Elephas maximus indicus: one gene and its partners. The protein of the gene in region 2 purifies or fractionates together with the protein of the main gene of each other region. This does not show direct contact. Links are inferred from orthologs where the notes say so. Each region holds a gene or a part of one and is shown on either strand. Other genes may lie near its edges.

Evidence for each region. The genes of interacting proteins can lie anywhere in the genome.
Region 1: the proteins of ARHGEF7 (region 2) and PAK2 purify together in Homo sapiens (co-immunoprecipitation; 5 studies listed by BioGRID and IntAct, with this or other methods). This does not show direct contact. The link is inferred for Elephas maximus indicus from reciprocal best matches to the Homo sapiens genes ARHGEF7 and PAK2.
Region 3: the proteins of ARHGEF7 (region 2) and GIT2 purify together in Homo sapiens (affinity purification with mass spectrometry; 6 studies listed by BioGRID and IntAct, counting the BioPlex papers as one, with this or other methods). This does not show direct contact. The link is inferred for Elephas maximus indicus from reciprocal best matches to the Homo sapiens genes ARHGEF7 and GIT2.

The regions. Positions count from the first base shown.
Region 1 is NC_064819.1:18,271,718-18,279,480, reverse strand, and holds the start of PAK2 (serine/threonine-protein kinase PAK 2), read right to left. Parts: upstream 3,013-7,763; 5' UTR 2,706-3,012; intron 1-2,705. UniProt on the Homo sapiens protein: Serine/threonine protein kinase that plays a role in a variety of different signaling pathways including cytoskeleton regulation, cell motility, cell cycle progression, apoptosis or proliferation.
Region 2 is NC_064841.1:77,019,921-77,027,276, reverse strand, and holds the start of ARHGEF7 (rho guanine nucleotide exchange factor 7), read right to left. Parts: upstream 3,007-7,356; 5' UTR 2,836-3,006; intron 2,467-2,835; exon of another isoform or gene 2,457-2,466; 5' UTR 2,054-2,456; coding exon 1,889-2,053; intron 1-1,888. UniProt on the Homo sapiens protein: Acts as a RAC1 guanine nucleotide exchange factor (GEF) and can induce membrane ruffling. Functions in cell migration, attachment and cell spreading. Promotes targeting of RAC1 to focal adhesions. May function as a positive regulator of apoptosis.
Region 3 is NC_064840.1:20,517,499-20,525,032, forward strand, and holds the start of GIT2 (ARF GTPase-activating protein GIT2), read right to left. Parts: upstream 3,013-7,534; 5' UTR 2,867-3,012; coding exon 2,815-2,866; intron 1-2,814. Other genes in the region: ANKRD13A (ankyrin repeat domain-containing protein 13A), read left to right, coding at 6,496-6,591. UniProt on the Homo sapiens protein: GTPase-activating protein for ADP ribosylation factor family members, including ARF1.

The sequences.
Region 1 (7,763 bases), on a different chromosome or scaffold from region 2:
TGACCACAGAAAAAAAACAACTATTATCATGGTGCAGGGATGGGAGGGAGAGACTATATTTTCCTTCCCTTTCAGCTTCTGTCAAGGTAGGAGAGGGATAAAAAAGGAAGGACTTAGATGTGCTATTTTTAAGTAACTTAACACCTTCCCTCTGCTTAACTTGGAATCAGCCCTCTAACTAAGGGCTAACGTTCGGGCTTTTGAGAACAAATTGATCAGAACCCTGAAGTCTTACAGCTTTGAACAGGGCACAGTTTCAAGTTTTAATCTAAAATTATAAATGAAGAATGTGGAAAGAAACATTATATTTGAACTTAAGAGTATTATTAGAATAATCAGTATCAACTGATTAAAGATGAAAAACAGTTGCTGTCAAGTGGATTCCAACTCATGGTGCCCCAGTGTGTGTCAGAGCAGAACTGTGCTCCGCAGGGTTTTCAGTGGTCGGTTTTTTAGAATTAGATCACCAGGCCCTTCTTCTGAGGCACCTCTGGGTGGACTTGAACTTCCAACCTTTTGATTAGTAGCCGAGTATATGAATCATTTGCACCACCCAGGGAGTCCTAGATTAAAGATAGGAAGAATTTCATAGTATCTACTTATTTTATCTACAGCTTCTTGAACAAGCTCTCCTTTTTTAAAATGTTTCATTGAAATTTTACCCTTAGCTACCTGAACAAGTTCTCTTTTTAAAAAAGTATAATTGGAAGGAAATATAAAACACTGTCGACCACACCTACCTGGAAACCTGCCTATCATAAGATCAGAGAGCCATAGAATCACTATTCACTCATTTACTATCACTTTATGAATTTGGGTTTGCAAGGTTCGTATTAAATATCACAAAGTCCTAAAGAACAACTCTCTGCATAATGTTAAACCAGGAATCAAGGCCTAGTGGAAGTGGAACACCTTAATAAATAATATCTGCTTATAGAAAGAACTGCCAGAGAAGACATCAACAGGCCACACGTTTCACACTCCAACATTTCTACACCCTAACCCCTTATTCCAACAGGGCCTCTCACTAAGTTAAGGACTCATGATACCACCAAATGATGACAGTATGGAAATTCAGTACTAAGCCATTTTTTCAGACTCTGCTGGAAAGAAAAATAACAATGGACTCTTCAGGGAAAACAGAAAATACACTGACTTTAGGTCAACCCCTTTCAGCCAAATCTGGAAAAGAGTTTCAGACTATATATATATCACAGGTCAAAACCATTTTGAAGTTCAGTTTTCATAATGTAAATCAGTGTTATTGGCTAATTAATAGATGGGAAAGATTTTAAAGCCAAGGATGAAAGAGTTGCTTTAAATCAATACCCTCTATAGAACATGAACAAGGCTTTCCGTTAAATTACACACATATATAGATATATATAAACATATATATATACAAGTATATACCCCTTGCCTTCCAGTCAATCTCTTCCGACTCATCGCGACCCTGTAATGAGATACGAACGAGCTTGTGTGTGTTACAAGTGCCACAGAGCTTCTGGCAAAACTGACAAGTTTCAACCTGCTTTAAAAATTACTGTGCACTGTGTTCATCCCAATCTGACTTTATTTAAGGTTATTCTCCGGACAATCCCCGGAGCAAATTCTTGTACATTTCAATATCCTGCCTACTTAACAGGAGCGGAAGAGTCAAACACAGCAGGGGAAAAAAACGTGACGTCCACAACCTTGATCCAAAACACAGCTCGTCGCTGTCTAATTTTAGGCCTAACCATTTTGACTGTCTTTTTACAGAGGTTAAAGAAGAAAACAGAACAAAACAAAACAAAAGCGATCCACTGGAAAGTTGAATTGCTACAATGATATCAATGGGAGCTGGCACTGTTTATCAAGGAGGAAACAAATCACGCTCACACGGCCCCGGGAGTAGCCCCATCAAAACGAACACACACGACCGACAACCGCAATAACTTTTTACACTTCAGTTTTTCGAGGATCTTTAAATTAGCCAAAAGGTCGAGGCCACCGAGGAATCTGGGGCAACGTTTTGCCAAACATGGTGAAAAAGTCAAGTTACCTTAACCCAAGTTACCTAAAGACGCAAATATTCACTTCCTGGCTGAAGATCAAACAAGAAACATGAAAAGATCCAAGAGTTCTGTTCTTGAGGGGAAGCCCTCAACTCCCCGGGAAACTATAGGTTTCTACTTTTGCGGGATATGGAAGAGGTTACAGATTGGAGGTGAGAAAAAAGTTAGGGTCTCGAGAGAGTATCCTAAGCAACGAAGCTGGGCGGACAGACAGCGAGCACGGAGGGGCTGAGAAGCAGGAAGAGAGGGGAAATCGAGGACTAACAGCCGAGAGGTCCGGTCCAGCATTAGCCAGCCGAGAAAGGGAGGCGGCTGGAACGGACGGAAGGTTAGACCGAGAGAGGGCAGAGCCCGCGGCGCGACGCCGCTCCGGGCAGGGCCGGGTCCGGGGAGACCGAGGCCAGCGCAGCCCGGCGGGCTTCCCACCGCGGGCGAAGCCGGCGGAGCAGACAGCCCCAGGGAGCAGACAATGAGCCACCGCCCCGGGAGCCGCGGTCCCAGGCACGCAGGTGGCGGCTCCCCGGCCCCGCGCGCCGCAGGTCGGCTGTCCCAGGGCCGCTCCCACCCGCTAGGCCGCGGAGCGAGGGGGAGGAAGGAGAGCGGCTGCCCGCCCCCCGGGCCGGCGGGCCGGCCTGCCGCCACACTCACCCCAGGCGAGGAAGGGTCCCGCCCCGGCCAGGCGCCTCCGTCCGAGCTCCCGGCGGGCTCCGGAGCCGCCCCGGGAAGCGTGCGGCGTGGGGAGGGGAGGGAAGGGGAAGCGGGGCGGGAAGGAGAGCCGGGCTGGAGCGCAGCCGCCGCTACCGCTAGGCCGAGCGGCAGCCCGAGCCCCGCGGGCGCTGGGGAAGGGAGGGCAGGGAGCCTTCGGCAATGGCGACGGCCGGGGCCGGAGGGGAAGCGGAACAACCGCCGCCGCTGCGCGTGGCCACAACCCTGGGGGAGGGCGACGGCGGGGAGCGGGCAGAGGCGGGCCCAGAGCACCGCCCCACCCGCCCCTCGCCCCCGCCCCCTGGCCTGGCGCGCCCCGGGGCGGAGACGAGCACCGCCTCCTAACAGGCGGGCTGGCGCGAGGGCTGCTGGGAATTGTAGTTCAATAGTGGGCATTTTTTTTTTTTTTTTTCCATTCTTTGTATTAAGAAGGACGTCCGTCTGGCTTCATTTAATTCAGTATAGGCTCCAAAGATGTTGACAGATGATTGCTCTTATATGAATCTGCTCCAGAACATTTGCTTCTGGGAATTCATTGTTCATTTTGCTCCTTTACCTACAAACCTCTAGCATATTTTGCTGCTAAATTACATCTCACCTGTTTGCAAGTTGAGACAAATTCCTGTGTTTTATCCACAGAGGAGTTCACCAATGTATTCACTGAGTCTACAAATATTTGAATGTCTAACCTGTACTAGACACTGTTAAGCACCATGAATACAAGGCTGAACAAGATAAACAAAGCCCTTGCCTTTCTGAGCTCACAAATATGAAAACACAATAATTGAAAGAGTGGTATCTGGTATGAGAAAAAATTTAGGGGAGATTGTTTTGGATAGGGTGGCCAGAGAAGGCCTCTTTAAAGAAATGACATTTAAGCTGAGAACGGAAAGATGAGAAAGAGACAGCTGTGAGAAGGACCCAAGGGAAGGCACTGCAGCCAGAGGGGAGAAGAAAAAGGCTTGCAGCCTTAGGTTAAGAAGGTCTGTGTAGCTGGAGCTTAGTGCAAGAAGGATACAGTAGTATGAGAAAACACTAGAGTAGATGAGATTCAGGTCACGAAGGACCTTAAATGCCACAGTAAGGAGCACAGACTATTCTAAGAAGCTAATTAAAGGGTTTGAGCAGAGAAGTGAAGTTATCTTGTTTACACTTCAAGATCACTAGACTGTTAAATGGAGTACAGAGATTCAAGAATAGAAGGGAAATGAACTAGGGAGGCAATAATTACGACTTGCACTAGGCAGATAGCAGTGGAAATGGAGAGAGGTACCGAGATTGTGCTTATCTTAGTAAAGCAAAAATTCTCAATTGACATGGAGGATACAGGAGAAAAAAGAATCAAGGAATGATAGAGCAGACTATTAGATAACCTAAAAACTCTTCCCATCATAAAACACACAAAAATGCTGGGTAAAATAGAACATCCTTTCCAAGGCATAACTAAGGTTGCAAAACTGATTTAAAAATAAAGTGCTTATTCGTTTTTTAAGTATCCAAAGAAGATAATATAATCATGAATAAAGAGGTCAAACCAGAAATGTTTTACTGTATCAAAAGCAAAGACATCTGTAACCATTTTTCAGGCAAGAAGAGTCAGATCAAAGTTTTCTTCATTCACACTCGTATTTTTTATTACACTTCTGAATACCTGTATAAATGAGTAAATGACTGAACTATGTTCCAAGATAAAATCCCAAATATTAACTTGAAAGCTTGTTTAAATATCAGTAAAATTTGGTTTGATGTGCAAAAGAAAAAAGTTATATATACACACTATTAAAAGAGGTTAAACAGTACCATGTTCCCTCATCTGTTTAACCATATTCCAAAATGTTGTCTGTTGATGTTACTGAATTTCACTTACATATAATTCCATTTCAATGCCACCTTATTAATCCCATAGAAGAAGAAATGCTTGTAAAAGAGGGAACACTTTCTTCTTTCAATATACAAAATTCTTTCAGTCTATGTAAACAGACTGGGTTAATCATTTTAAAGATCTCTTAATATTTCTGCTTTATAGCACTGGACACTAAATAAGGAAGACCGAAGAAGAATTGACTCCTTTGAATTAGTGTGTAGGTGAAAAATATTGAATATACCATGGACTGCCAGAAGAACGAACAAATCGGTCTTGGAAGAAGTACAGCCAAAATGCTCCTTAGAAGCAAGGATGGAGAGACTTCCTGTCATGGACTCTGGACATGTTCTCAGGAGGGACCAATCCCTGGAGAAGGACATCAGGGTTGGTAAACTAGAGGGTCAACAAAAACGAGGAAGGCCCTCAAGGAGATGGCTTGACACAGTGGCTGCAACAATGGGCTCAAGCATAACCATTGTGAGGATGGTGCAGGACAGGGCAGCGTTTCGTTCTGTTGTACACAGGGTTGCTATGAGTCAGAACTGACTCAATGGCACCTAACAACAATGACATGGCATTGGATTGCCTTTTTCAGTACTGTGTCAAACACAACTTCAAAAAGAATTGCTCTGACTAGTCAAGCCGTACATGTCAAATTATAAAGAGATTTATTTCCATAAAAACACTAGAATGTTTTAGGACGTTAAGCAGTCATAGCATATATAAATGTATTATACATTACTCTACATAAACAATGCCAATATACCTGGTTTACTGACTTCTATCCTGGAATGTGCTTGCCCTAAAATTTTATTTCTTAATTAACCTGTGGCACTTACTCTTTTTTTTCCCCCAACTATAACAGTTTTTTTTTTATAACAGTAAATCAAGACCCTTTGTTTTTTTTTTAAATCACTTGTAGATTCCATTTTTTTATAAATGTAAAACTTAATAAAATATACCCTCTAAAATGACAACCTCAGTTGTCTTCCTGACACATATATATTAAACCTTAGTACTTAGTTTCATCAAGTCCTTTGACAATTCATACATCAAAAAAAAAAAAACTACAAAATGTGAAAGGAGAATGGAGATGCTATAATCATCTTAAAGTCAATTATGATATTAATAATTACTTAGCGGACCTATTTAAATAGTTTTCTTTGAAACTCTGGATAAATGCCTTAATATTCTCAGGAAATTAAAGTTCAAGTAAGCTTCTGATTCATCCAAATTATTTTTTTCTTATTTATAATGGTTTTCTCAATTTTTATCTTAAATTGAAGGTTCCTTCTCACAAAAAGAGAATGATTTGTCTCATTTGTCCAAAATGAAGATATTCTCATAAAATAGATGTTAATTTAACAAAATTAAGTTTCCTCTACTGGCACTTGATGTTTGAGGATTATCAAGAATCTACACAACAGAACGCTAAATTTTGGAATCAGCTGAGAACAATTAAGTTTCCTCTAGTAAACATAATTGCAGTCATAATTCTATTAAATACATTTTTAAAAAAGTAATCACATAATTTTAGAAAAACACTTCTAGTCACAAATGAATAGGTCTTTTTTAGGTTTATGGAAAGTGTTCAGCTTCAAAAACTTATAGGGAGAAATGACCATATTTGAAAACAGCCACAAGGATCGACGTAGAACACAGGATTGTAACAAGCAGAGTCACAGAACACACTACAGAGGTATGTACGGTCAGGCCCACTGGAACCCGTAGTGTCACATTTTTATTTACCTATGGAGAGAGAGGGATAGAGAAATTAAATGGACACCATTTAAAACGCACATCCTGAGCTGAGACCACAATTTCTCTGATTTTTAACTTGATCATTTCCTTTCTTTTTTGAAATATCTTTCAGTCAATGTGTTACACTAAACGTAGCATTATTATCTGAATGGCTCTTCTGGATCCAACATTTCATTCAATGTTACAGAATTAGGCTCAATTCCCACAATAATTCTTAAATTCTCATTAGTTCTGACTTTTTCTACTTTTTACATAGAATCAAGTGTGTTCTTTAAAAAAAATTTTTTAATGACTATAAACATTTACTTCCTTTTACTATAACTCACATTAGAATGAAAAATTCTAAGTTGAAGTCCTAAAGGAAAAACATTAAAACAAGAATAAAACTGAAGTATCCATTCACTCCTCTGTTTCTCTGTCTCTCCCCACAAATAGCTTTAAAAAGTTTGTTACTGACAAATTGCACAAGCTGATTGTGCCCTAAGCTGTTACCACAACAATAAATTAGTTGTAATACTGACTAGCAACTCAAGAGTTCTCTGCTTAACTTCATTTCTATTTGTTTTTGAAGGGCTTAGTTAGAAAGCTTGGGAAAGATTATGGTTCTAAAATAGGTTTTTAAAAAAACATTAAAATTTAGGTAACTTGGGAATACTTTTATTTTTAGTTTCTAACTAGATAAGTACTTGGATTATAATTTCACATAAAAAAAAGTTACCAACCCAATCTGCAACAAAACCCTATCTGTAAATTATCCTTCAACAAAAGGCAACTTAATCAAACCTCAGTGTAAGTCACAACCTTAGTAACGGTCACCTATTTTTCTGGCATATAAAACATATATAATCAAGAAATATAACATCAAGTTAAAAAAAAAAAGTGAAAATGCTTAATTACGACCCCTTATTTCAAGTTCCATAGTTTTAAACAGAACTGAATTCAAAATGTTTTAAGAGTATAATTACTTATTTTGTAGCGATGCATATTACCAATATTTTTTAATCAATGAATCATAAGTAAATATTAACCATACTCTCCATTCACATAAAAATATTAAGTGCAACTCTCCAGATCCATTTCAGAGTCTGAAAAAAACCAGGCACCATATGACAACGGCAATTCACTCTAAGTGCATAAGGTGTTAACACAGTTGTCCATCTTCCCAACTGTCCGTTCAAAGGAAACTCTCCAGTACAAAAGGGCAATAGCACTTTGTAGGAAGCCTTCAGTGTAAGTAGCTCTTTTCGGAGCTAGCTGGTAGAGAGACGTAGAAGTATCCAAATATTCACAATAGTACGTTTGGACAAAACTGTTTTAAGTTTATCTGATTGACATTTATGGTGTCTGCTGGTTTTAGGTAAATTCTAAGTTTATTT
Region 2 (7,356 bases):
AGTATATCCAGGTGACAACAGAGCATCCTGAGTGCCTCCAGAGTTAAATCCTGCCCTTTATTCTCACCTTAAATCATAATTTTATTGTGACACCTGGTTCATTTACAAGCAACATTTTTATTTCATGGACAGATTGTTGTCATAAATACGTTCCAAATAAGAAAGACACCTAAAACTAATATGTATGCAAAATTAAAGATTTTCTGACATTTAAAATGTAATGCCAGAACGCGTTCAAAGTTATGAGTAAGATTAAATATTTCACTTTTTCAAGTAAAACATTTCATTATTAACAAATGCATTCCACTGTGTATAAGGGCCAATGTGCCCCCATTAGAAAATGAAGCTGGTTTCCCCAATTATGGTTCACTCCAATATGTGCCATCATTTAAATAACTGTGGAGCCTAACATTCTATCTTGGCAAGATATTTGAGATAAAATTGTAATATATTAAAATAGAGGGAATACAACCTCCTTCGAAGCTCTCACGTCCCCTCCCCATGCTTCGTGAGCTCCTGGGAGCTGAAAACAAGCTTTAATCACTTACAGAAATGCAGGTCAAAGTTCACACTGCAGCCACGGGGAAACCACTAGTCAAGAGTAACGGGAAGGAAGGTCTTTTAGGACTATCGATTCTGTTCAGAATCAGGTATGAATTTGAAAACGAAATCTGCAATTTTACACAAGTCTCGAAGAATGCCAGGGCTTTTTTTTTTTTTTTTTTAACTCAAGCTTCTGCAATCCTCTTGCCTGGGAATACAGGAGGCATTTTTTCGCTGGGAAAGTAGTAAACCGTTTCACAGCCCAGCCCTCAGCTACTGATGAATGCGTCTTTTAAAAAATGCACGGGAATCGATCAATTAAACAGAAAAAGGATGAAATGCCAAGAAGAAGAATTGTTCAAACAAAGCCATCAGAGAAAACTGTGCGTGGTACTGGAAGACCGTTTTACCATCAGGTTACTGGAAACGAGCTAGGCAGACCTCACAACACCGAGGAGCAAGTTACCGTCAGGGCGGTACAGAAATCCTATTTCCGACCATGTAAAAGAACTCTTTCTCCCGCCGACCCGCGCCCCCGGCCCGCCGCCTCCGGCCCGCCGACCCCGCGCCCCGCGCCCCCGGCCCGCCGACCCCGGCCCGCCGCCCCGCGCCCCCGGCCCGCCGCCCCGCGCCCCCGCCCCGCCACCCCGCCGCCCCGCCGCCCCGCCACCCCGCCGCCCCGCCGCCCCGCCGCCCCGCGCCCTCGGCCCCGCGCCCCCGGCCGGCCGCCTCCGGCCCGTCGACCCCGCGCCCCCGCCCCGAGCCCCCGGCCCGCCGCCCCGCGCCCCCGGCCCGCCGACCCGCCGCCCCGCGCCCCCGCCCCGCCGCCCCGCGCCCCCGCCCCGCCACCCCGCCGCCCCGCCGCCCCGCGCCCTCGGCCCCGCGCCCCCGGCCGGCCGCCTCCGGCCCGTCGACCCCGCGCCCCCGCCCCGCCGCCCCGCGCCCCCGGCCCGCCCCACACAATGGCGCCCTCCGAGCTCCGGCTGCCTGGCGAGGAGCGCTGTGCGCGGGGAGAAGCGCACGCTCCTGCCCGGCGCCAACCGGGCTTCCAGGGGGTCCGCGCACAAAGGAAAGTGCGTAGGCTTCCTCCCGGGGCGCTCCATTCCCCGCGGGGCACAGGAAGAAGGCGGGGACCGCCGCGCGGGTCGCCAGGTGCCAAGGCGCGAGGTGGTCCGCACGGCCGGGCACTCCTATGCCATCCCGGGCCGCGGCGGCCGGGGACCCCGGGCGGCGAGCTTTGTGCGCCCAGCCCGCAGGCGGCGCGCAGCGGCCGGGCCCCGGGGGCGCGCTCGGTGCCAGGGGGTCCGCGCGGCGGGGGCGGCGCGCCAGCTGCCATAGCACTTACTTTCTCTATGGTCCCGGGGAGCAAGCGGTCCAGCAGCCTGCAGAGGACCACCCCATCTTTCAGAGACGACTGCAAAAAGCCCTCCGGGTCCGAAATGGTTTTTTTGGGCGACTCCAGCACCCCCAAGGTAATGAGCCACGTAACGGTCTGTTCAGCAGAATTCATAGCTGTCCGAGGAGGAGCAGGAGAAATCCGCAGGGGAACCAAGGGGGATGCTGCACCGCCGAGCCTCTCCCTCCTCCCTCGCCCGCCCGCTCGCTCTCCGTTGCTTTTTCTGAGCCCCCTTTTGGCTCGTGGTTTCACATTGGAGCAGCCGGGGCTGGAGCCGCCGATCCCACCTCCTCCTCCTCCTCCTCCTCCTTCCCCATGTAGATGCAGATGACGACGATTGGCTTTGCGAAATCCAGTAGGTCCAGTTTCGCTCCCTCTCCCTGGCTCGCCTTTTGGCAGACTGTCAAGTGCCTTTTCATTATGTGCACATGAACCTGCAGCGGCGGCGGCCCGGCGCCGCCTCCTCCTCCTCTTCCTCCTCCTCCCAGCCCTCAGCTGCTGTCGCCCAATGACATCACTGAAACGAGAAGAAAAGAAGGTGCCGTTTGCAACCCGCTCCACATCCTGTCACCGTCTCGGCGCGTCCCAGCCGCCACCGCCGCGCACGACAGATGGGTCCTCGCTGCCCTGGGCCCCCAGGACAAGTGGGCACGCTGCGTGCGCTTTTGCGCAGGCTTTGCGCGTGATGTGAATGTGACCTACGCCGAATTTAACAAATGGTACCAGGAACACAGCGCCAATGTGACCGATGCCTCGGGGCGTGTGTTTACGCACAGGTGCTTGCCCGTTAGGGGGCAGCTAAATCCAGACTAGCTGTGTGGATAGGCGCCCGTCGGCCCACCCCTCCGTAACCGTTGTCATCAGTATCTCGTGTTTGTGCGCGCGCGCGCTCTTACCTCGACAGCTGCTTTGTAGGCGACAGACCCAAAGAGTCCTTTTGACCTCCAGAAGTCTGGGTTCAGCCACACGCCGAGGTGGTTTTACCAGCTGAGCCCGCGCGCCGCCCTGCCCCCTCGGCGACCACGTGCTGGCCCCTCCGCGCACCGTCTGAGCCGTTTGCGCTCCTGCTCCGGGTCTACGCAGCCGACACCATCTGGATGGAAGCGCCTCCCGGGACTGTCTTCGCTCTCCTGTCCCTTCCGCCGCCCCACCCCCTTCCTTGGAGGACTTGGAAACCTTTTTTTTTTTTTTTTTTTAATCATGAAAGTTTAAATTATTAAATATTTCCCAGAATTCTCATATCTTTGACAGTTTTATTTCAAGAGGGGAGTGAAGGGGGGGAGGGTCCTGAAAACAAGACGTCTTCGCTACCTTGCAAGCCAATAATTACAGAACGTAAATTATAATGAAGTATGTAACCAAACCCAAAAACCAAACCCACTGCCGTAGAGTCGATTCCGACTCATAGCGACCCTATAGGACAGAGTAGAAGTGCCCCTTAAGGTTTCTGAGGCTGTCATCTTTGCCAAGCAGACTGCCCCATCTTTCTCCGGCAGCTGCCGACCTTCTGGTTAGCAACCGAGTTCTTTAACCACTGAGCCACCAGGACCCTAAGTATGTAACCACATGGGTCTAATTCGGGAAGGAATTGATTTTCCTAACCCTGCTGTTTGTCCTTTTAAACGTGCACCGCAATTTAACGCCGTGGTGCTTGTGTCTCGCGTGCCCCCTGCTGGGGGGCTGGTTAATGCGGCGGATGACCTCACCAAATTCTGGAAGGTGGGTGGCTAAATATATGCGAGGACCGTTAAGGGAGCGCATTTTCCTAGGACCGGAAACCTTGGAATTCTCCCACATTAAATTGATGGTGATGTTTCAAACACTGTTGGAAGAAAGTCAAGAAAATAACATAAGCCTAGAGTGGGTTTGTGCAGACGATCAAGCAGGAATATGAGAACCGCTCAAAGTAGGGCGCTTGGCTGACTGCATAGGAGCAGAAGCTCGTCAGGTGGAAGTAGGCCTGGAACGGGTACAGGCCTAAGGAATTCAAACACCAGCCTTCAGGGCACTGAGCAAATTTCTCTAAACAGCTGGTGACGCTTACACATTTATATTGCTCTAGAAGAAATAGGGCCTCTTTTTTGAAGAAAGCCTTCTCTGCTCCTTTTATTTCCATTTGTTCTGCCCCTAGTCTGTTAGTGCTTTCTCTGTTTGCTTGCTGTGACTCTCCCTGAGTTTAAAATAATATTAGCAGTCGCTTACAAAGAGCTGACTGTGTGCCAGGCACATGTATTAACCCACCTAATGATAAAGCCAGAAACCATAAAAAAAAAAAAAAAAAAAACTTTGGAAAATAATGAAAGCAGCTTAACTCTCCTCTTCCTCTTCTTCCTTCCGGAGGTGTTTGTTGTTTGTTGTGCTTTAGGCGAAAGTTTACAGCACGAATTAGTCTCTCATTTAAAAATCTGTGCACAAATTGTTTTGTGACACAGATTATTTCTATCGCAATTTCTACTGCAGTCATTAGTTGCATTAATTTTCCTCTTCGAGTACCTAATTGTCTTGCCACAAACACAAAATAATTAGGATAGCAGTGTGAATTCTGGGCAATGAGGGCCAATAAAGACACAGTGATAACAGCTGCCATTCACTGTGCATCCCCACAGTCAGGTACCATGTCCAGCGCCCTCACCCACACCACTCCATCGCTGCACAACCGTGTGAAGTTATCTCATTATCCTCATTTCATAAAGGAGGAAACGACACTCAAAGAAATGAAGCCACTTGTCCAAGGTCACATTTATTTGCTAAGTGGTAGAGATGGGATTCGAACCCACGATATCTGACTGCAGAGCCAAGGCGTCTATCTAGCTAGCTCTCTACATTGCTTCCCTATAAGGTCTCCAGAAAATAGCAGAGGAATTAACAGCTTTATCAAGTTTTGTTAGGAAACCCTGGTGGCATAGGGGTTAAGTGCTATGGCTGGGAACAGTTCAAATCTGCCAGCCGCTCCTTGGAAGCAGTTCTACTCTGTCCCTTAGGGTCCCTATGAGCTGGAATCAACTTGACAGCACTGGGTTTGGTTTTGGTTTATAAAGTTTTGTACCTGAAGGGTCTGTCAGTGGGAAAGTATCAACAACCCGAGGGTGGTCTTGAGATTCCTGTTTACTTTTATTACTGCCGAATGGGAGAAATAATTTTCAGTACATGTATAGTCACTACAGTTTCAAATTCTATTAAAATTAGGTCTGGTGCAGCATATACCTGGGAAACAAGAGTAAGATTCAAACTGACTTAATAAAATGGTCCTACAAACAACAAGCTCTAGGGAGTGTTCCTAGGTATCCAATTATTATCAGAAAAAAAGCCCACAGACCAAGTACTATAACTAGTCTTTTTTTAAATTGTGGTAAATATAGTAAATATACATGTAGCAAAACCCTGGTGGCACAGTGGTTAAGAGCTACGTCTGCTAACCAAGAGGTTGGCAGTTGGAATCCACCAGGTGCTCCTTGAAAACTCTATGGGGCAGTTCTACTCTTATAGGGTTGCTATGAGTCGGAATTGACTTGGCGGCAACAGGTTTTGTTTAACCCATTTGCCATTCCAACACTTTTCACATGAACAATTCGGTGACATTAATTATGTTTATCATCACCACTACCTGTTTCCAGATTTTTCCATCACCCTTAACAGAAAGGCAATGTCTCCTAAGCAAGGAGTTCCCCTTTCCCACCCTTCCAGCCTACCTCTAGTAACCACGAATAAACTCTGGTCTCTGTATACTTACTTGTTCTAGATATTTCATTTAAGTGGGATCATACACTACCTGTCCTTTTGTGACTGATTTATTTCACTCAGCATAACGTTTTCCAGGTTCACCCGCGTTGTAGCATGTATCAGGATTTCATTTCTCTTTGTGGCTGAGTAATATTCCATTGTATATACCACGTTTTATATATACGTTTAGGCTGTTGCCACCTGTGTTAGTCATCCAGCAGTGCCATAACAGAAATAACACAAGTGGATGGCTTTAACAAAGAGTTTATTTTTTCACAGTCTAGTAGGTTACAAGTCTAAATTCAAGGCTTCAGCTCCAGGGGAAGGCATTCTCTCTCTGTCAGCTCTGGAGGAAGGCTTCCCCTGGTCAAGGAGCTTCTCAGGCACAGGGATCCAAAGGACACACTCTGCTCCTGGTGCTGCTTTCTTGGTGGTATGAGGTCCCCAACTCTCTGCGTGCCTCCCTTTCATCTCTTGAGAGATAAAAGGTGGTACAGGCCACACCCCAGGGAAACTCCCTTCAGTATCAGGGAGGTGACCTGAGTAATCCTTTTAACTGCAGGCAGAGATTATGATTTCTAACACACAGGAAAATCACAAAATGGAGGACAAGTACACATGGCCTAACCAAGTTGACATGTATTTTTGGGGGGGACACAATTCAATCCATTACATCACCTTTTGACTATTGTGAATAATGTCACAATGAATATTGGTGTACAACTGGTCTTTTTTAATAGAAGTACCCCAACTTTTAAGTGCTTTATACTTACTAGTGGCATTTCAAAAACTTTATTTCGAATATATTCTAGATGTTCAAAGCTAGATGTTCCCCAGGTGTTTAATTGAGATGTAACATCCAACGTGGGCATGTGGTTAAACCTGCCTTAAGATTTTTCCCAGTTACAATTCTAGAGCCATGCTGTGTGGAGTAGGATTCTGGAACACAACACTAACTGGTCCCTTGGACTAGAAACACGTTCCATCGCTTCCTGTGGACCACTTGGCCCTGTCTATGGATATTCCTTTGCCTTACCCTCAAAAGGATGTAGACAACATGGTAAATACAGTCAAAGTCACTGTAAAAATGGTTGACACGTCAAATGTTTTATTATATTTATTTCATTACAATAAAAAAAATTTTTAAACCTACTTTAAAAAAAAGAGTGTAGAATGGTTTCAATGCAAGCATGTCCTTTAGCTCCCACAGTTCTCATGAGAATTTCAGCTTTACTCCCAGCTTGCCCATTGCCATCAAGTCGATTCCAACTCATAGCGACCCTGTAGCTTGGCTACCTCTTAATGGCTGATAGCCACATTCCAGGTATTTGTTAGGAGTACACCCACAAACTCAGCTGCAAACCAGTAACTATCAATCAAAAGCTTGGCTGAAGGACACTGTTTGTGTGCGGTTGCCTGGAGGGTGGTCTTATAAATATGTTAAAATCTACCCCAACCTTAAGCTGGCAGGCAGATGGTTATTTACCAGGACTGTGTAGTAATGGCTCCCTGTTGGATCACTTTTATTGAATTGGGTCATCGCCTAGACTGAGGGATGCAGTAAGAGGCAGTTCCATGAAACTCACCGTGTCGATTACAGGTATGTTATCAAAGGCATTCATTTTGAGAAAATTTGTTCTATTTGTCTGGCATAAATATGACCAAATACGAAATATGATGGATGCAAAGCAAGAAAA
Region 3 (7,534 bases), on a different chromosome or scaffold from region 2:
TAAGTACTCAGTAATGTTAACTGTTACGTCTTTTATAAATAATTTTCTAAGCACCATTCAGATATTTCAACAGCCCGCTGAAATTTGTGATCCTGAAAAAAAATTTTTTGATTGGAAAAACTTAAAACATCAAATGTTTCAAGTAAATACTATATTATCATAGTGAAAATTTCAGCGGATTTTTCAGGTAATCGAACTCAGTGTGATTTAGTTAAAATAAACTGCGCTCATTAAACAAGCAAACTAAGAAGAAATAATCATGGTTAAATATTTGCCATGAAACAAAATAATTCAATGAAGTATAACTGTCTCAGTACTACTATACCATTCTAAAAAGCAAACACTGTAAACATCAAGATAAAGGATCCCTAAAATGCTACACAGCGACGGGTTTTTTTCTGCACGAAGGGAAAAAAAAGACTGCCTTGAAGCATTTTTTTTTTTTTTTTTTGAAGCATAGCTTTGATTTTCACCTAGCATCCAGAGAATTCACAGTATTCTTTCAGGGGAAATGGAACAGGACTAAGACAGCAAGGATTTAACAATTAGGCAAGGTTCTCAATTAACCATTTTAACATCACATATCAGAATTCCATGGATAGAGTAACTAGAATGTTACAGCCGAGTAAAATCAAACCGAGTTTGTACAAATAAGGTTGGGTAAAACCCTTCCTGTTTATGTGGATGTTTTGTGTCGGGGTTTCTTAACCTGGGCTCCACGGACACCACAAATGAGCTTCAGGAGTGTCTGTGGTCCCACTGAGAAAATGCGCATGAAATTGTGTGTGAAAGTACATACATGTGCATTTTTTGGGGAGAGGGCCTTAGCATTCATCAGATTCACAAAGGAGTCTCTAACCCTAAAGGTAACCCTTTCACTAGGGTTTTGCAGAAAAGGCAGAACAAATTCCTAGCTGCACAAGTTCACGGAACATTTCAAGGTAGCCTAATTATACTCAAAACAGGAAGGAAGTGACTCAAGTCTCTGTAGATAGGTACATAAGACAACTAAAATGATATGATGAAAGAGAAAATGTTCTGAAATGCATAAAATGATGCAGAAATGCAAGGTAGTATTTAGGGTGACAACGAAGAAGTAACTTTCCTTTGCCCTAAGCCATCCACTGAGAAGTAAAGAATACTCATTCTAAGAGGAAGTTTGAAGCTAGACACATGTGAATCAAACATGACGCAGAAAGTTCAACTGAAAACAGGCAAGAAAAAGAAGGAAGTGGAAACATTTTTAGAGACTAGGATTAATTTCGTATAACCACCCTGGCTGGTTTATAAAACACCTCTTTTTTAAACTCCTCCACCCCTTTCCCTATTTTCAAAGGAAACTGGCAACCCTGACGGCTCTATAAACCAAAAATCAAACCCAGTGCAGTCAAGTAGATTCCCACTCATAGCAACCCTATAGGACAGAGTAGAACTGCCCCACAGAGTTTCCAAGGAGCGCCTGGGGGATTCGAACTGCTGACCCTTTGGTTAGCAGCCGTAGCACTCAACCACTACGCCACCAGGGCTCTATACAGACTATGAGAAAAACCACTTCAGGTTTGAGATATCATGTTGTTCTTGTTAGTTGCCGTCCAGTTGACTGCAAGTTATCACAGGACTCAGCCTCAACCTCCAAATGACAAGATGAAGTTCAGAACAGTTGCCACAACACTGGCATTCAATGATTTCATTAAGGTTGTTTACTGGACGATATTGTGCCAAGGAAGCCATCTTACTTTTGAGTTACTTCAAACTCAAAGCAGATAAACCGAAGCACTGAAAACAAAACACAATCTAGCCACAGAGACCTGTCAGCTCAGCTCCAAATGCTAAGATGGAGCTGAACTCTGTACCTGAAACTTGCACATGGCAGAAATGATTTATGCCCATATTGCTGAATGCTCAAATGTGAATACTGCCCGTGATTTTGCGCCTGTTAGTTTTTGGTAAGTTGTAATTCATGCATGATTTAGAAATGCAAATCTAACTTTAAAGGACGTCAAGAGTTATCTGTACTAAACACAATACAAAAAAGAAGGAAAAAAAAAAAAAACTTGAGATGATGAGAAGGCTCATTAAATCTAATCACCGAGCCAAATACTCCCGACTATATCCATTGGAAAAATGAGGAAATCAAGGCTTGGTCACATGAAGTCACAAACCCAAGGTCACCCAGACCTAGTCTGAACCCAGGCGATTCAGATCTAAAAACTTGAGACATGCTCTGCCTTCTAAGTGCTGGTTGTTTCTGCAAGACCGCGACGTCCTGCAGGTTCTTCCCCGTGGAGTGGGAGACGAGATGCCAGAAGCCTGGAAGCAATCTGCCCTCCGGAGGGTCTCGGTGAGGGAAACCGCGAGTGTCGCCCATCTCGGGCAAGGCCCTCTGCGGGGCGGGGGTCCGGATGGCTGGTGTGTGTGGGGGTGACACCTGCAGCCTCTGGGGGCCGCAGCCCGGAGGATGCTCGCATTCTACTTCTGTAATTGGTCTTCCTGTAGATTGCCCAAGCCCCTTCCTGTTGGGGGAGCAGCCCTGGACCTCGCCGCCTCCCCGGCCGGCTGGGACGGAGGAGAAGGGGGAGAAGGAAAGACCGGAGGGCGGCGGCCCCCTCCCCGCCCGGCTCTGACAGGCCCGGGACGGGCCCCGCCCCAAGGCTGCCGCCTCGGGCTCTCCCTCGCCGCGACCCCAGCCGCGGGGCGCGGGGCGCGGGGCGCGCAGCTCGGCCGTCGGGACTCGCCCGACCTCAGTGGGCTGCCTCGGGGCAGGGGTCCGGGCCAGGAGAGCCGAAGAGAGCGGGCCCCAGCGGTGAGACTCACCCGGCCCGCTGCAGTCAGCGCACACCTCGCTGCTCCGGAGCCGCTTCGACATGGCTCTCGCCTCCCACCCGCGGGGAACTAGGGGCCCCCGGACAGCGAAGGCGGCGGCGGTGCTTCCGCTCTAACGGGTCCCCGCGGCAGCGCTGGCGGCAGCGCCTCTCCCCTCAGCGCCTCGGAGCCCGGCGCAACACGCACGCGCGGGGAGGTGGCCTTCGCCGACGGACAGGTCACGTGACCGGAAAGGGCACACTGTTTTGTCGCCATCTTGAATGAGGGCAGGTGTCTGTTTCCCCAGCCTCTGCCCTGCTTTTAAATCTTGAATTTGGGTGCTTCTATTTGAGTCGCGGGAACCCTGGTGGTGTAGTGGTTGGGAGCTACGGCTGCTACCCAAAAGGCTGGCAGTTCAACTCCACCAGGCGTTCCGTGGAATCTCTATGGGGCAGTCCTACTCTGCTCTATAGGGTCGCTATGAGTGGAAATCGACTCTATGGCAACGGGTTTGTTTTTTTTTTTTCCCCCGCCTCTGGGTTGCGGAAAGAGCCTTGGGGGCGCAGTGGCTAAAGCGATAAAACTGCTAACCGAAAGGTCGGGTGTTGGAAACCACCAGCGGCTTCGCGAGAAAAATGTGGCAGTCTGCAGTCCGCTTCCCTAGAAGATTTATAGCTTTAGAAACCGTATGGGGTCAATGTGAGTCTAAATCGACTCCACGGCCGTGGGTATTTTAGTGGTCTCTGAGATGCTACAGGGTCGCTATGAGTCTGGATCCACACGAGGGCAATGAATGAGTTGTTTTTTTTTTTTCCTACACGAGATACTCCTCCTCCCAGTACTGATTAATTCCAGGGGAAGCTGTAAAACCTAGTGACCATAGAGAGCTCTGCAGCCACAACTTTCCTGAGGCAATCAGTGGTCAAGTCACTTAGTGCAACTTTGGCCAAGTTAGTTCATTCATTCATTCAACAAATACTGAGTGTCTGCTGTGTGCCGTGCACTATCCAATGGAGCTTCCCAGGAGCTCTGGTGGGCAGTGGTTAAAGCGCCAAGCTGCTGACCAAAAAGGTCCGCGGTCGGAAACCATCAGCTGCTCACCGGGAGACAGGACAGCCTGCTTCCTTAAAGATTTACAGCCTTGGAAACCCTATGGGGCAGCTCTACTCTGATTTACTGTTATTATTGGTATCACTATTATTTTCAAATCACGACTTTTCTTCCTATACTTGAAATTTGAGAGTAAGAATATATAACCCAGAGTAATTTAAAGGCTAACCAAAAACGAAACCCGCTGCCCTCAAGCCTATTTCGACGCATAGCGACGCTGTAGACAGAGTAGAACTGCCCCATAGGGTTTCCAAGGGGCACTTGGTGGATTCAGACTGCTGGCCTTTATGATTAAGCAGCCGTAGCTCTCAACCACTACGCCACCAGGATTTCCAATTTATAGAACAGTGTGAGATAAACACAGTGAGGTTAATCAGTGTGAAGAACAAATGTGATCCTAATGCCGAAGGCCACCTCCCCACTAATGAATATTTATTGTATGTGTTACATGTAAACAGAATTATAATCTCCATTTAGCAAATATTGGATGCCAATTATGGGTTAGGGGGAAACCCTGGTGGCGTAGTGGTTAAGTGCTACGGCTGCTAACCAAAGGGTCGCCAGTTCGAATCTGCCAGGTGCTCCTTGGAAACTCTATGGGGCAGTTCTACCCTGTCCTAAAGGGTCGCTATGAGTCGGAATCGACTCGATGGCACTGGGTTTGGTTTTGGTTATTATGGGTCAGGAAACCCTGGTGGCATAGTGGTTGAGAGTTACCACTGCTAACCAAAAGGTCAGTAGTTCGAATCTACCAGGTGCTCTTTGGAAACCCTATGTATGGGGCAGTTCTACTCCATCCTATAGGGTCACTATGAGTTGAAATCAACTGGATGGCAACGGGTTTGGTTTTGGTATTATGGGTCAGGAACTGTTTTGGCTTTAGGTACTCCCGTAAACGAGACAGATGTGAAGTTTTCAGACTAATGTGACAGGAGGGATGTTCAGGAAGCATGGGGCAATAGAGAGAAAGATTAAGTTGCACAAGGGTTCTGAAAGAATGAAGAGGCCTTAGAAGCACTGGTCCTTGGTCCATCTCTCCGGCTTGATAAATGTGTGGTGTGGGAATAGCCACGTAGTTCCCACGCACGCAGCACTTACAGTCTATGAGTACTAACCTGATGCTCCTGCGTGCTGTTTTGGTTCCCCAACTCACAAATCTGGGCTCAACACGTGTGGAGAATGGATTAGGCTAGGATTCTTGAACAGCTGTTGTTGCAGGCATCTGAGAAGCTGGCTGTACACAAGCAGAGAAGGCCCAGGAGATGCTTTCAGGATGAATTGAATAACTTTGCCCAGCTATGTGGTCGAGTTGTAGACAGCTGAGCAGAAGTGGCAGCAGGAAGCGCACAATGGTGGCTATAAACTGACTTGATTCTTCATTGAGGCAAAGAGGTACAGTATCTGAAGTTGAAACTCAAAGGATGAACTTCATATTTGCAGACTGTGGTCAAGTCTGGGTATTATATATCAGTCTTTTCAGTCATAATCCAAAATCCAAATGGCTAGCTTCAAAAATAAATGACACATGTGGGATAAACCATTATCATAGGTAGCTTTGAATCATAACCCAGTTCAGAGTTCAGATAGAACAGTGGCTCTCAACTGGAGACCATTTTTGTCCCCCAGGGGACATCTGACTTTATCTGGAGACATTTTTTGGAGGGTCGATATGAGTCGGAATTGACTGGACGACAGTGGGTTTGGTTTTTTTTTTTTTTTTGACTGGCATTCAGTGCGTAGAGGCCAAGGATGCTGTTCAACCTCCTACAAAGCACCCGACAGCCCCCACAACAAGTTATCCGGTCCAAAATGTGCGGAGGTTGAGAAAACTCTGTGATATAACTATCTCCTTATTATGCAAATATTTAACGCCACTCCTCCAGGGTTTATAATTCCTCCTCTAAAATTGTTTGCTTTTGCCCACTTCCAAAATGGATTCTGACCAATCATGGAAGCATCTGCCCTGGTCCAAAAAGGCTGCAAGGAAGTCGGTAGCCGGAATGGTTTAGCCCAGGCCTGTTGTCGCCCCCTGACCGCAGGGCCAATGGAAGAGGCCCGGTTGTGGACCGAACCATCTGCGATACATAAGGCAGGGGGAAAGAGGTTGGTGATGGGTAGACCAAGTTTTCCACGTCAATACTCTGAAACGAAAGAGGTACTCTTAACACTGTTTTAGATATCACACTATGATCCTGGTGTGGAATTGGAGATTGGTGAAGTTGGGCGAACTCCGGATCGACCGCTTTGCCTCGCCCTTCCCCGCCCCCGCGTGCGGTGGTTCGCTCCCCGCACTTCCCTGTTTGGGACAGTTCGGTCCGCAGAAGTCGGTTCGGGAGCTGTCAGCGCGGGCGGGAGCGTCGCGGGGCGCGGGGTGGGCTCGGCCGACCCGGTCCCCGACCCGGCCCGCGACCCCCGACCTCCCGCGCACCACGCAGTCGGCCCGCTAGGCCACCCGGCCGTGTCCCTCGCCTGCTCGCTCGGCTTGTCCTCTCGCTCGACGGCCGCTGGCGGGCGCCGGAGACCCCGCCGGGGCTGAGGCTTCTGGCGAGCGGGTGGCGAGGGCCCGGCTGCGGCCTCCTCGCCATGTCCTCGGCCCGCGACGCCAGCGGCCACTTCCCCCTGCATCTCCTGGTCTGGAAGAACGACTACCGGCAGCTGGAGAAGGAGCTGCGGGACCAGGTGAGGGGCGGGGCGGGGCGGGGCGGGGCGGGAGTCCGCCCCTGGTTAGGGGGAGTCGAGGCTCGCTAACCTCCCTGAGCCCATTTCCAAGCCCCTGCCCTCGGGGTCCCTTGGACCCCTTCAACTCTGCAATCGTGGGACGGCAATAATAGTAACAACAGGACGTGTATTGAGTGCTTACTGGTGCCAAGCTCTGTGTCAAGGGCTTTATATACATTATTTCTTCTAACCTTTCCAACATCCCTAGGAGGTGGGTATTATTATTCCATTTGACAGAGAAGGAAACTGAGGCTCTCAGAGGTTATGGGCCTTGTGCAAGGTCGCCCAACTAATAAATTTGCCAAGTCGAGATTTTAACTCAGGCTGGCTGGCCCCAGAGAGCGCCGTCTTTACCATTAGGCGCTACTGCCCCTCTCCAAGACTTACACTTTAGACTCTACTGTCCTCTCTGAAAGACAACACACACACCCCTCACCTCACCTCATGCACCCTTGTTGCCTTGCTGTAAGGAAGGTCTTTGTTAAGGTTTGGAGTTCGGGTTCTAACTTGCTCTGTGTGACCTTGGGCAAAGCATTTCCTTCTCTGGCCCACATCAGCTTATCTGCAGAATGAGGGTGTTGGTACTGGTGTGAGCAAACCCAGTACTCAACTCCATTGATAGGTCTGGGGTGAGGTCCAGGTTTCAGCATTTTAACCAGCTCCCAAGGGAGGCTGATACATACCAAAGTTTGAGAGTCACTGGAGCACAGGAGTGTCACTAGCCTTCCTTGTTCTAAAGTTCTTTGATTCCTTGTCTTTTATTTATTGCCATCTCTTCTTAACTGATTCTCAACTCAGGGGCTCTCAACTGGAGGTGATTTTGCCCCCAGAGAGCATTTTGCAATGTTTGAAGGCATTTTTGGTTGTTAGGAGTGGGGAGTGGGGTGCTACTGGCATCTAGTGG